2 linked regions of the Astyanax mexicanus genome follow. The protein of the gene in region 1 purifies or fractionates together with the protein of each later gene. This does not show direct contact. Links are inferred from orthologs where the notes say so. Each region holds a gene or a part of one and is shown on either strand. Other genes may lie near its edges.

Region 1 (7,485 bases):
TCTAGTATACAGTGTGCTGTATAAAACACAACCATTATTACACTAAAAACATTTAACTTTGAAGATTTCAATTTTAATCACAAGAAAATAATAGGTAATTAATTACGCAATAATATAAATGCACCAAAATAAATAGAAAAAAAAGAAAGTTGAAACTTTTGACATCCAAAGGTTAATGCAGAGCTGTTGTCGTTCTTTGTATTGGACTAATGCTCTTATTGAAGGATTGTCATTTGCCTATGGCCAGTCTCAGCCTGCAATAATTGACTTTGCCACCTGGCACTGTGACAGTGTGGATTTCCTTGTAAACCTTGTACCTCGTGGCTGGGAACAGCAATTAAAAAACATAGTGAAGCAAAGTTCCTGAAACACAAATTATACAGTCCCAAACAATAACTGAATGCAAATGATTTGGTATATTTTAAGGTAATATTGATTTTTAACAATTCAATCATAAACCGGCAAAGCAGAACGAAGGCTGCGTATGTTTTCAGCTCTTTACTGATTATCTAGACTGCAAAAAGTAAAAAACAATATATACAAAATCATAATGGAACTGTGATTCTCAACTGCAGTCTTTACATAAGTGTTTTGAGGACCCTGAGGCAAATTATGTGTTACAGTGAAGAGCTAAGTATTAGCTTAACCAAATGACAAAAAGTCAACCTTCATCGTTCATCACGCAGGATAAGATAAAAGCTTTATTGGGACGTTTTAGGTACAACAGCTTGTTATAAATGGTTATAAATGAGGAGACTGTGATTAACGGTCGAAATGTGAATACTAATTTTTGTAATGCTCAACATGACATCTATTTTTTCAACACCAATCAACTTACTGGTCATGTTTAATAATAGTCTAGTGATTTTCAATCTGGGATCACAGGCAAAAACTTTGAGAAAAAAAAAGCCCTATATGGTGCCCAATTCTTTTTTTAATGCTTCCCTTTTTTATTCTAAACTTCTACTTACTCTAAATGTCTACCCAACATATGTTATTGACTTATTAGGTTAAAATCTTACAAAGCTTAATCTTAAAAGTGTGGAAGTCAGTTTATCTTTTACTCAGGATGTCCAAACTTTTGCCTGCCACTTTCAGTTTTTTTAATGATGTGCCAAAATCATCTGTAACAGTAGAAGTATGTAGTAGTTAACTAGTAATCAACAGTGATGTTAACTAGAGTGTTAATAAAAAAAAACATGGTCAAATTTCCAGGAAGTTTGGTAGACTATTCTACAGCCACACACAAGCAGAAGAAAAGACAATGATTTGAAAAGAATAAAAACAGCACAATCTCCAGTAAAAAAAAGTCCTAAAACCCAGTAGTCCTACATTACCCAAAAAATAGTATCCTTATACTGAGTGATCTTATTATATCTAGTATATATCAGCATGGGAATTGAAGTTTGTTGCAGCCTGTTTCTTTCTTTTAAGACCTTTGTGGTCCAAAATAAAACACTAAAGTTCCAAGTAAAAGAAGTAGAGTCAGTAACAGTAAAACCCAAGAATAAAAGCAAGCACTAAATAGGAACTACAAAAAAACTAAATAGAAAACAAAAAACAGCTGAACATAAGGTTTAAATGCCAAGGATATGTAAATTCTGATATTAAGTGGGCACTTTTGGAGACACAGACCAAGTTGAGTATAAACTGCGTGAGTCCATTACCCCTCTCACATCATGCTTTTCACCAGAACTTTGTGTAGTGCAGTGCTGTTACAAATTACTGTTTAGTCTGCACTGAAATTTGGATACCTTTTTAGAATCAACATTGATTATATTGACTAATCGTTGCAGGCCTAGACATCAGATAATATATGATAAATAATAATATATAATAAAATAACTGTTAGAGGCAAGTTCTAGTTATTTTCTCACTGTTACTAGAGTAGTTAAACAAGATGTGTCTCATTTTTAGTAAATTTACATCACTAACATTTACCAAGTTTTTCCCTTCCACCTAAAATGCAGCAGCAGTTAGCCAAAAAAAAACACTTCTTTAGTAAAAAAAAAATGAGAATAAACAAATATTTTTTATATGTATGCACATATACATATTTGTATTTGTGAAATATTTTAAGTTTAAACAAATATTTTAAAAAAATTATATGTTACCAGTTGCTTGCATTCCACTTGATGTGGCTTTGGAGGATGGCTAAGGTTACATCCATAGCTAAAATAACAACACACATCTATCCCTAATCTTATTGGACAGAGCGATGTATTTTGGGACATTATGGATAAATAATTGACTCATGTATAATAATTGATATAAAATTAAATCATTTTAAATAATTAAATAATTAAATAATAAATAGTTGATTTATGTTTAAATTATAACAATTCATGTATTTAATGTAACTAATGGCTTAATTCTTCGTGAAAACATTATATTTATACCAGTTTTAGATCGGCTGTTACTTACAAATAACAATATTCTGTAAATCAAATATAAGTTATATCAAATACATTCACCACCTTTTCCCCGACTAATAATCGATTATGATATGTGTGTAACGTTATCAACAGCATAAAGGACCTGCAGCCTAGCTGTGGGCAAACCCGTTTTTATAGAATAATTTAATATTTAATTATAAAAGCCCTAAACGGTTCTGGTATGGTTCAGAAACGCAGTCTGGTAAATTTTGAGGTTAAATAAAGGGTTTAAATGTGTAAGTCCGGTTTATCCGCGCAGTCTCCGGGCGGCGGGGCTGCAGCCAATCCGCTTCCCGCAGCTCTCCTCCCGGGGAAGCAACAGGCGATAAACCAGAGACTTTTACCGGCGGAAAACCGAAAAAACGCCCCCGAAGAAACCAAAACAAACCAGGAACGCCGCCAACAGCGACTAAAATCATGTAAAACAACATGAACGACAGTTTTTTTGATAAAACTCTGAAAATCTTCCTCAGTAGCTCTCAGTGCTAGCTGTAACGTTAGCTTAGCTACACCAAACCGGGATTTACAACAAAGTACCCAAACAAACTCAGCCTTTCTAGCGTTTAAAAACTACAATTAAACCCGTTTCAGATCGCCCAGACTCATAAAACTGCTTAAATAAGAACTTACTCATCCAGTTTAGGTCCCGTGTGTAATCTCGTTACGGGACCGTCCCTCTTTCTCCCGTTTAACGGAATACCTAGCGTTAGTGACGGGAATTTACCAACGAGTCGTTCAGACGATTCAAGTGAGTCGACTCGCGGGATTGAACGAATCATAGGATTTTCTACAGAGGAAACACGAGAATATATATATTTGAAATATATAATAACAAAGAGCTTCTGTTTTGGTTGTCTGTGAGCGTGCATATATTTATTTTTATCATTAATGTATTAATATATATATATATATATATATATATATATATATATATATATATATATATATATATATATATATATATGTGTGTGTGTGTATAAAAATATGTAATGTTACAAACGGAATCAGAATCCAGAATTGTGTCAAAATAAAAATAGGGCATTTCTTCATTTGGCTTAATTTTGGAACCATTATAATTAAATGAATGTTTTAAATATTGAAATGTTTCTTTAAAAAAGTTCTATTTAGTATTTATTACCTTAGACTTAAACTATTTAGTATTAACTTAAAATCATTTATTTATTACATATAACTAGGCATGTCACAATAAATGTAGGTTTTATTTGGCCTGCCAAAAAAAAAAATTGTTGTGGAGGATATACCACTAAAGTATTGTTAACTGTTATGTATGTGAACATGGGCATAAATCAATTTTTGCTGTCCTCAGTAATGCTCATTATTCCAATGTGTTTATTTGGTTATATTTCTATATGAATGTCAGATGTGATTTGCTTAAGCGGATGATTCGATTCGGCTCTTCTGAAGTTTTTTTAATCTTTTTGAATCAGCGCTAGCAACAGGTAGTTTAAAAGAGGGAATAGAACGAATCGACTCAGTGAAGTGAGTCGCGATGCCCATCCATCAGCGGGCCTGGAACTCGAGCTCCAGTGAACCCTCACGCGCCGCTTGCTGGCTGCCATGACAACTGACCCTCGAGGCTCCTCAGCCATGTGAAGAGGACTGGAGGAGGAGAAGGGGGGGAGGGGGTACAGCAGGTCAGTGAACATGGAGCAGATGATATTTAGGGGGTCGGGTGGGTCCCCCACATGTGCTGCCAGTAACAGACTCGCATAATTAAAGCTAATTTTATAAATTCACTGCCTGTTGCTTTTTTAGAACATCATCATGACCAGCTGAACAATAGTAGATCATAGCCAGCCCTCCTTTGGGGTGCACCTACAACCTGTCCCAGCACCCAAAAAATAAAAGCAAAAAGTTGTGTTTTTGTTGTTTTTAAAAAATAAATTTATCTCTGATAAGCAAACAACAGATACTCATTAAACAGAATTTTAAGAACAAAGATATAGATATATTTATACTGACATTCCAAAGGTCATTGGACAGAAACTAGTATTGTGTCCAATGACTTTTGCCATGCCTCATGGAAGCTAAAGAATGCTACACTGATCTGTGAGATATGTGTGTGGGGCCTCCTAATGAATATTAATGTGATTTCATTATAGTAACAAAATAATTATGATAAAATAATTGAAGGATAGAAGGGAAATCCACATGTAAGTACAATATGGATTTACAATTTACCTGTATATTTAATTGTTAATATTGTGGCGTGGAAGAGGAAGGAAGACCCGTGAGACTCATGCTGAATGCTCAACAGTTCCTTTATTGAACCAGCTTGACACTCACTTACAGTCTTTAACAAGACTAAGAGAGCTAAAATCCATCCCCACAGAGCTCAAATAGCCCAAAGGCCACCAACCCAGCTGTGTGTCTCCCAGATGGCAGATCCAGAGTGGTGCCCACCCTCTCTGCAAAACCCCTCCCAAGGGAGATGCCCCACCCCTGTCATCCTCGCACACAGGAGAACAGAAACATGCCTGCAGGCAGCCACACACACAACCCAGAGCCGCCACAATATTTTATCCAAATGATGCATAAAGATTTTTTAAAGCTTTTTTTAAATTGATCTATACAACAAACTTTTACAAGTTCAACCATTATTTACAAGGATTTTTCCTGGATCCAGGCACATCTGGACCTTCCAAGGTTGACAGGAATAAATGTGACAGTTGATTAAGACATGGGTACATTTTTAAGCTAATAGTAACCATAATTCCATATTTAGCTAAGACAGTAGCACCACATGATATTCAGTACATTATAAAAGTGTCATTTTTTGCAGCATTGTTGTTTATGTTTTTGTTGTTTTTACTAAACATTTGTTTACTAGAATTTATTCATTATGTTAAAAAAGAGTTGACATGTTGAGCCTGACAATTAAGAACAATAAATTTAGGTTTAAAAACTTTTAAAAAATATATTTCCTGTTAGTCCTTTAAGAAAAATGTGCAGTGTCATTTTCTCAATGATGATCTCACATGAACAAATCTATTAATTTTATAGGGAGCAAATTGAATGTTTTAATTTTGGGATGTGTATTAAAATTGCTAGTTTGTAGTTAAATCAGACAAATTTAACTACAAGACTGTTGGGAGACTTAATATCTAATATCTAATTAATATCTAATATCTAATATCTTACATACAATTTATTAGGACAATTACAAAAATATCAAAAAAAGTCAATCACTGGTCAACCTCTCTGTACACACACATACAGCACCTTGAGAAGGGCGCTGGAGAGCTCTTTGAGATGGATATATTCCCAGAGCGTATTGTTTTATAGGATTAGGTGCTCTTCTTTGGGCCAGATGTGCCTCACTGATCAAATCTGATTTAGCCAAAGCGCCGGTGACACAGCTCAAAGTTAAACATATCAGAATCCTGCAGAGACCGCCCGCTCCCTCCGCGTCTATTAAAAACTGCCTCTGCAGCAGACAGGGGAACAGGCAGATCAACTCACCTCTGCTTTCAACCCCTTCAACACTCACACACACGCTGCCTGTAGCAAACTCACCACCTCAGAGTGTGTCATGTTCTCTTGCTTCCCAACGTGTTCAATTTGGACACAGCTTCTTATCATTTTAAAGTGATAATTTATACAGAAATCTAATTTTCTGCAAAGCCCTTCTTACCACACATAAACAGTATTTGACAGCAGAGACATGTTTAGTTATAAAAGCTAGATTTTTCAGTAATTGCTTTGAGGATAACGTAGTTAACAAGCAAAGCTAATATTCTGCTAATTAGCATCATGCTATTACATCTGCCTCAAAGTGGGCTGTGTTGTTCGGTCATCTCTAACAGGTTTATTATGGTTTCTGAGACTGTATGACACCCTGTTATCCACAAACATGGATACAAATACCTAATTTAGCAAAACCAGCAGCTCTTTTCACTTTTTACATATGATCAACAGCTCAAATCTGTGAAGATTTAGGCAGTTTACACAATTCTATCTAATGTAGCTTGCTTGATACATGAGCTACAATTCACTGTTTATCTTTTTCCTTGTTGTCATCTTCTCTGATGGACAGAATTTTGTGGTCAGCAGACATCCCCATCAAAAAAACTTACTCTTGAGATGTAGCATCACTATCCATGTCCATTACTTATCTGTTTTGTGTGCTAATTTTGTCTTACATGCAGTAAATATGTTGAAAAATTTAGCTTTAGGGCAGCTTTTGCTCTTTTTTCAACATATTTACTGCATGTAAGACAAAATTAGCACACAAAACAGATAAGTAATGGACATGGATAGTGATGTCTTGCCTGGAGCAGATCGATATTTCCAAACATACCTTATGTAAGTTTGCTGTTTAACCAGCTTTTGACCATTGTAGTGTATGCTACATTTAATTTTGGTTTTGCTAGTCAACCAGCTTGGTCAGGCTGGTCATGCTAGTTATGCCGGTCAATAAGATTGGTTATACTGTTTGACCAGATTAGTTATTCTGGTTAACTACATTAGTTATGCTAGTGATTGCATTCAACCAACTTGGTGAAGGTTGCTTACACTGGTAGTTAACTCAAAAGAAGACATACCTTATGCTGCTTAATAGCTAATCTGGTCAACCAGCCAAACCTAGCCAGCCTTTTTTTTTTTAGCAAGGACATGTCTTGTTTAATGGATGAATTTTAAGGAAGTAGTACTATTCCTTCCCCCTGTTGTATAAAGAAAATGTGATGTTACTACAAGTATTTTTATTAGGGATACAGCAACCATTTTTCCAACTGAGTACATGGTATTTTATACTCTCCAATACCGATACCTATTTAGAATAAAGCAATCAGGAGCATAATGTAGTTGTAGTTGTTAATGTAAAGTAGTGCAATCTCTCTCTCTCTCTCTCTCTCTCTCTCTCTCTCTCCCACTCTTGCTTACTCTCTCTGGGACTGAATATATATAACTCAAATACTTGAACAATGAAGTTGTCAGAAACAAGAGTTGATTAGTTAATTAGTGCAGCAATGTGCACTAGGAATTGGATATTGGTAATGGGACCTCACTGGGTAAGTGAGTACGTGTG
Region 2 (8,147 bases), on another chromosome or scaffold:
AACAGACTTAAGTAAAAGTACTATAGTAGCGCTTTTTCATTGCACTTTTTTTAAACAATTTGCAATATTACTACTCAAGTACTGAAAATAAATATACAAATATTGTGTTTTGTAGTTTTCCCTCTGCAAAAGATGTTATAGTAAGAGTAAAGTGTTATAAACACATCAGTCATTCTTTAACGCATTATTGGCCCGATTTCCCGCAGATGCAGTCCTGAGGCACAGATGAAAAAGCATTTCATGGACTGCTGTCAGGAAGCTGGGATTGTGGAGGTCCTGCCCTATCACGAGTGTGATGTCATTTCACGAGACAGGCCGGACTACCTTCGCTGTCTGGTTCGTCTCCAGATCCAGAATGCCTCTGCGCGGTTCCCTGTGTTCATTACAGGTAAAAATCTTGCTTTATTTTTTTGTTTGTTTAATGCATGTTTTAAGCTTCACAAAATATACAGTGTTTTTCGTACTATAAGATGCTATTAAAATTCTTTAATTTCCTAAAAATAGTCCTTTGTAAGTACATTCTAAGTATATTTGACTGTAGTCTGCATGTTTACCATGTTAAAACAAGCCCTGGCATACCGGCTAGCTGTTAGCCGCTAATGGTGCTGCACCAAGCCTTAGTGGAAATCTGGAAATCTAAGCTTACTGTGAATAAACAACAGCGCTTTACTCACCCAAATAAACAGTTTTTACAAGAGAACTCTGTGTAGATTAACATCCAGTGCTTGTTGGAATATTTTTAAACTTAAAAAAATAAATTGAATCATGGCAGTCTTAAATTTTTAGCAATGTCTTTCTTTGTCATGAAACTAACATATGCAGACCAGTAGAGGGCGACTCCGCTGTCTTCTGTTATTAAATTAAGCTGTAAATATGTTATTAAGCTGCAAATCACAGAGACAACTGAAACAAAAAAATATATAAAAATATCCTTAATTGTGTCTACCAAGATTAACAATATAGCGGACAATTTGGGCTTAATTTCTAATAAACTGAAGGGAAAGTTTCCATCTTTTTTTTTTTATCGGGTGGCTTAATAAGCTGCTGTTTTATGTTTGATATTAATGTGCTTATTGTTTGGTTTCTTTTTCAGATACACAAACAGAGTCTTTTGGGAAAAATGGAATTTTAACAATGAATATTTACACGCTGTCACGGATTCTTTCAAACGACACATGTTCCGTTTCTTAATGCTAACTGTAAATGACATTTAGGCATTGTTTTCTATAATACGGTAACTTGCCATTGGGCGAGTGCCTCTTGTTAATAGTATAAGTTATTATGCTGTGAATATGCTAAACCTGTAGAAGTATAAACATGTAAAGAGTCTCATATGTTTCAGTTTTAAATACTGTAAAAAACAAAAAGAAATGCCAATGGTATTTTAGTGTATTCTTTGTTTTCTTTCATATGGTTTTATAAATCATATTGACAATTCTAATTTTAATAAAAACACTTTGTTTGGTACTAGTGTGTTTTTTGTGGTGGGTTTCTTTTTATTTTTTTTGAGTGGACCTAAATATTTGTATTTAATAAAATGTTTTTTGTTTTACTGAATTGACCAAATGGCTGTAGTTGCATAATAGTATATACTGTTACTGCCAGAACTGAAGCTTTTCTTTAAATTTAGAAGAGGAGTAAAGATAGCTTCTTAACTTGCATTGGAAGTCCCTGTTTTTTGTAAGGTATTTTGGTTACGTTAAAGGACACATGTATTACAAAATATTAAATATTATTAAATAATAGTTTATTTAAAATTGGGGGGGGGAAATCTACACGTTTGCTTTTTTTTCTTTTTTTCATTCTGTGTTCAGATAAAATTAACCAACTTGGCTCACGCAAATAGTGGCATGAACAATGTCAACAACCAATAGGAGAAGAGCTACGGGAACCTGCAAGGTAAGCACAGAAGCGTTTGTGGAACTGAGCGTGGATGAGATTTCTACAGCGATGGCTCGGACACCACGGTTTTCCTGGAGTGTATAAAAGGTCTTTTCCACGTGTCTTTCCATTTATACCACAACAGAATGGAAAAGTATTGAAATAATAAAAGTAAATATAAAAAAAGTAAAAAAAATCTAAGAATCTTGTTGGAGTCTTGCAAATAGTGATGCTGCAAGATCCCCAGTCTTTGCAAAATCTTAGTCTGTAAGTAAAAAGTCTGACTTGTGTTTAGATTTGAGAGAGTGTCAGACTTTGATCTATATGTTTAGAAAAAAATGTTTGATATTGGATATTGGTTCTAAAATTGTTCTTAAATAATAGGTCTATGCTTCTTCAGTGTTGCAATGTGAATTAACATGATTCTGAACGGATTTCACTCATTTAAACAACCTAAAATATATATATATATATATATATATATTTTTTTTTTAAGCAAAATTTTAATACTCTACTTATTTTAATGCTCTACTTATTTACTTAAATGTTAGGTTTAATTTGGGCTTGGGCTCAAAAAGACAGTTTAAGGCTTGGGTTGGTCTCTATTTCAGAGCTGAGTCCTTTTTAAAGTCTTCTAGTGTATGTTTAGCGGAAGATTGGAGGGTTGAAACATATTGGGTTTGTTTTATTAGTATAAGTTTATTAGGTTTCATGCTGCGAGTCTGTTCATGTCCTGTGTTATCAAACTCAATCTCCTCAGAACATGTCACCTCAGTGAACGTGTGCTTATAACACTTTCTTTCTGTCTTCTGTCTGCTGAAGTCTTTCCTACAGATCTAAATGCAGGGGTTACTTTAACCACTGTTCCTACTAAAACACTGGAGAGTTAAAGAGTGTTTGTGACTAAAGTCTTGCAAACTCTTGCATTTCAGGCTCCAATACTTAAAAATGTCCATCCTTTAAAATCGGCTTATTTTCTCTTTGCAATATTGGTGCAAACTGTACTGCTACATCTTTATAACACTGTTACAGACCTACTGCTGCCTACATAATGATAATTAACTAATTAACACTAAACAATGAACACGCCAGTGTCAGATCAACAGTTTTAGTGTTAAATAAAAGCCCTGCGAGTGTTACTATTCCCTCCTGACACTCAGTAACAGCCCTCCTCACTGGAGCTGGTAAAGTAAAGTTTGGTCAGATAGCGCCTCCAAGTGCAGACTGTCTTTATTTGAAGGAAGTGGAGTCTCTTCTCTCTTTCTATAACGGGTTTTTGGACTTTGGGCGGGGGATAAAGTGTCTCTGGGGGAAAGGGCATGTCGTTATTTTCGCATATGGTTGGTTGCAGGCAGCAGGCAGTGCACCACGAGGGCGCATGCATTTCTAGAATAGAAAAAAGAACAGAAGTTAGATATGTGGATAAATAAAAAGACTGTCAACTGGATTATATAATGTTGCAGGTCTAGAAAAGCCAGATATACTGTTGGATGTACTGTAAAATTACTTCAGAGCTGCTAAAAAAAATGGAAAGAGGAAGTTAAACAGTTAAAAATAGACTTCATGTGAACGTCTACGCGTAAAAACACTCCAGCAACAGTTTCTACAGCAACAATGTCAAGCAAAGAAATACAAACACTGTTACCTTACGTAGAAAATAGCCTTGTGACTCCTATTTAAAAAGATGTCAAAAGTATTCACATTCATTCCTCTGTAGGTAGAAGTATAGATTCTAGGGTTTAATAAAATTCTTCTGTAGAAGTTGAGGTATCAACTCAAGCTTTTTACTCTTTAAGTAAGTGGTTTTAAAACTACTTAAATTATAAATCTAAAAGTAGTGTAAGGGGGAAAATAAAGCCATTAAGGACAAAAGCATTTCTCCTTTTGTGGCATGTTCTATTAGTTTTACTATTTTAGTGTTTTTGAGATCAGATGTTCAGTTTTGGTGGGAAACTCAGATTTACTACACTGACAAGTTTTTGTAAACACTCTGTTCACCATATGATTTTCAACTTTTAGCTACTTGTAGTACTTGTAGTTGTTCAGTTCCTACTTTTTTCAGAGATGTTTATTCAGAGAGAGAGAACAAAAATTAAATTGTATTTTTTCAGAGTTTTTTTTCCCTCTTTTTATAAAATATTGATCATCCTGAATGTAAGCTATGGTTTATTTAACGTTGAATGTACGAAATTAAATCTCTTTTTAAAATCAACACCAAATCCAACAGTGATTTAGCATTGATTGAACATTTGTTCTCAAAAACACTAAAAACAGTAAAAGAAATAGAACATGAACATACACCCAGGTATTGCAAAGAATTGCTGCCAAATTAAAAAGCAGTTGTGTTACTGCAAATGGAAGTAAAACCACTTTTTCTCTTTAAACAAAGCAATACAGACTGTTCGCAAACATAGTTTCCAAACGATGGAACAAACTACCTACTACCAGATCAGGAGAATCTCTCACTATCTTTAATAAACTCCTGAAGACAGAGCTCTTCAAAGAGCACTTACTCTCCTAACACCTCTAACTAACTACCTTCTACTACCAGATCAGGAGAATCTCTCACTATCTTTAATAAACTCCTGAAGACAGAGCTCTTCAAAGAGCACTTACTCTCCTAACACCTCTAACTAAGTAAACTAAGTCTGCCAAATGTAATGTAATAATGTAATTATGTTTTATCATATTTTAATCACTTTTTAAATAAAGAAGGTTGGTTGGTTTTGTGCCAGCTGGGTGGGTTTTATATGTTTAAGTAGTTTTAAAACTTCCTTAGTACTTTTGATAGGTAGGTTGATACTTCAATTTCTACAGAAGTATTTTTTTTTTTTATTAAACACTAGTATCTATAAAATAGTTCTACCTATAGTGTGTGTGTGTGTGAATGTGAACACTTTTGACACCTTTGGTGTCACACCTCACAGTGTGTCTGGGGCAGATACGAGGTTTTTGTTAGGTGTTAAAAAGCGGGAAAGTGTCCTGGAGGTCGCGCGCCGCAGTGTCCGCGTGCGCTCCGCTGGCACCTCACCGCACATGCTCCTGCGCTACGTTCCTCTTTCTGCGTAAAAAGCGCAGAACCGGATGCGCGGTTTTGGTTTTAACTCCGAGCAGAGAGACCCGGAAAAGCGCTGCATGTCGGAGGAGCTCTCGCGCGCTGAAGCTGCAGCTCCTCTCCGCCATGCTGAGCGCTTTCTGCAGGACCTGAGGAGCAGCAGGAGGACCCGAGACCCCCGGTGCGCGCGGACCCCCAGGTGAGCTGCACTGCTGCACCTGTGCGGAGGAGTTTTAGGAGTTTTGGGTTGTTTTGTGGAGCTGTGGTTACGCAGAGGGGCTGATGCTAAGAGCTATTAGGTGTGGCAGCTTTGTGAGTGCGCGCGCGCGTGTGCGTGCTTGTGTGTGTGTGCGTAAGTGTGTGCGTGTGTAAACTTCCCCCCTCCTGAAAGTATTTTCCCTTCATATATAAATATATATATATATATTCATCTTCATCATTAAAAACAGCTCTCAAGTTAAAACTTACCCTTCTGCAAGATAATACTGGGCTCACATGGGTGGAACCTGGGTCAGGTGAGTTCCACCAGAGATGTAAAGTAATGAAGTAGAATTACGTCACTACTGTACTTAAGTACTAAAATACTGTATCTGTATCTACTGTAGTATTATTTTTTTACTTCACTACTACTGTACTTAAGTACTAAAATACTGTATCTGTATCTACTGGAGTATTATTTTTACTTCACTACTACTGTACTTAAGTACTTAAATACTGTATCTGTATCTAATGGAGTATTATTTTTACTACTTCACTACTGTACTTAAGTACAAAAATGCTGTATCTGTATCTAATGGAGTATTATTTTTACTTCACTGCTGTACTTAAGTACTAAAATGCTGTACCTGTATCTACTGGAGTATTATTTTTACTTCACTACTACTGTACTTAAGTACTAAAATACTGTATCTGTATCTACTGGAGTATTATTTTTACTTCACTACTACTGTACTTAAGTACTTAAATACTGTATCTGTATCTACTCGAGTATTATTTTTACTTCACTACTGTACTTAAGTACTAAAATACTGTATCTGTATCTACTGGAGTATTATTTTTACTTCACTACTACTGTACTTAAGTACTTAAATACTGTATCTGTATCTACTGGAGTATTATTTTACTTCACTACTACTGTACTTAAGTACTTAAATACTGTATCTGTATCTACTGGAGTATTATTTTACTTCGCTACTGTACTTAAGTACTAAAATGCTGTATCTCTATTTACTGGAGTATTATTTTTACTACTTCACTACTGTACTTAAGTACTAAAATGTTGTATCTGTATCTAATGGAGTATTATTTTTACTTCACTGCTGTACTTAAGTACTAAAATGCTGTACCTGTATCTACTGGAGTATTATTTTTACTTCACTGCTACTGTACTTAAGTACTAAAATACTGTATCTGTATCTACTGGAGTATTATTTTTACTTCACTACTACTGTACTTAAGTACTTAAATACTGTATCTGTATCTAATGGAGTATTATTTTTACTACTTCACTACTGTACTTAAGTACTAAAATGCTGTCTGTATTTACTGTAGTATTATTTTTACTACTTCACTACTGTACTTAAGTACTAAAATGCTGTATCTGTATCTACTGGAGTATTATTTTATCTCCTCGTTCCACTTTTAGTACAGATTAATACTTTTACTCAGTTTTTGATAAATTTTGTGTATTTATGTATATGAGCTGCATTGTTACTTTATTACGATTTAAAAAAATGTTATAAATCATTCCAAACCCACATTATGACTAAATCCAGAGCGGTGGATGATCTGCACTGTCGCCGGATTTGATTAAAGCTGCTCATCATTGAGCGAATTAAGAGATCAAGCTAATCTTATTAAAAGACCTCGCTGCTCCCGTGCTGCCTTTAGCACCGCTTTCTTAACTAATTAAGGAAAAAAATAATTTCTTCAAAAAATACTTCAAAGATTGTTAAAAAAGTTGAATTAATCATTTATTATTATTAGTTTGGGCATTATATACTTACGTATTCACCTACTTTAATTCACACTGTGTTTATGGAGTCATTGAAGTTATTGAAGCATGACTGACTAAAATACTGTTCACTGTTATTCATGTGAACAAACATATACAAATAAACAAAATAAATGAAAAAATATCACGATTATCAAACATTATTAAGTTCATGTTCACGATATTGCGATGATCGTGACAGGCCTAGTATAAACCCTCGGCCCCAGCACTGCATATACTCCTGCAATACACCTGAAAACACACTCCAGCACAGGTCTGCCTGCACATGCTTTGCATATAGACTGTATGAGCAGATAGAGCAGAGCAGTGAGCTGCTGAACGCTGGGAGAATTCTCCACAGAGCTCAGTCTATAGCAGGGCTATTCTTCTCAATCTGCACACACCAGCTGCTCAGCATGTGCATCAATGTTTGAGTATCACTCATCATCACACAGCTGAGCAATGTAGGTCAGCTGGAGTGCTGTACACCCATCAGCCACAACATTAGGACCAGACCGGTGAATAGGGATAAATATCGGGTTACAATAACACCTGTAGAGAAGTGAGATTTGCAGTATTAGGGAGCAACTGAACAGTCAGGTCTTGTTTTTAGGGCAGGTACTATGCAATATGATCAGTAACAAAGAGTACAGGGGTTGCAGGTAATTCAGTATGTTTCAATATATTGTGATACTGATATGAATGATTATATATATATATATTTTAGGAAATCTCTCATAACAAACAAAAAAACACACTATCGTATTCATAAAATCTGAGTAAAAGAAAAATGTATGATTTAAGCAATTATAATAGTGGGATTTAGTGGGCGGGGCTTAAACACAAACACAAAATCAACCACTGTCTGCCAGCTATCTTGAAATTAAAATCAATACTGTGTTTTTTGTTTTTAAATGATACATTTATTGAAAGTGTCCATACATCAAAGTATCACAATATTTTATTTAGTGATACTATATTTGTAAAGAGTATACTTTTAAAGATTGATGTGAAACAATGGTTCATTTATTGAATTAATCTAAATGTATAAAAAGTAAACTTTTGTTTTACCCAGATTTTATAAAAATGGCTTATCATGTTTTTTTTGTACTATTAGAGTTTTACAAAACTTTAAATGAAACAATCACAATGTATTGTCTTGCTTACAGTATTGCAGCCTCTGTATCATGATATGCAAATAGAGGTGGCTCTAAAATA

The links.
Region 2: the proteins of multiple PDZ domain protein (region 1) and plekha2 purify together in Homo sapiens (affinity purification with western blotting; 3 studies listed by BioGRID and IntAct, with this or other methods). This does not show direct contact. The link is inferred for Astyanax mexicanus from reciprocal best matches to the Homo sapiens genes MPDZ and PLEKHA2.

The regions. Positions count from the first base shown.
Region 1 is NC_064432.1:17,454,545-17,462,029, forward strand, and holds the start of multiple PDZ domain protein, read right to left. Parts: upstream 3,177-7,485; 5' UTR 3,066-3,176; intron 1-3,065. UniProt on the Homo sapiens protein: Member of the NMDAR signaling complex that may play a role in control of AMPAR potentiation and synaptic plasticity in excitatory synapses. Promotes clustering of HT2RC at the cell surface.
Region 2 is NC_064419.1:2,043,082-2,051,228, forward strand, and holds the start of plekha2 (pleckstrin homology domain-containing family A member 2), read left to right. Parts: upstream 1-4,971; 5' UTR 4,972-5,135; intron 5,136-8,147. Other genes in the region: uncharacterized protein tasor2, read left to right, coding at 207-388, 1,094-1,191. UniProt on the Homo sapiens protein: Binds specifically to phosphatidylinositol 3,4-diphosphate (PtdIns3,4P2), but not to other phosphoinositides. May recruit other proteins to the plasma membrane.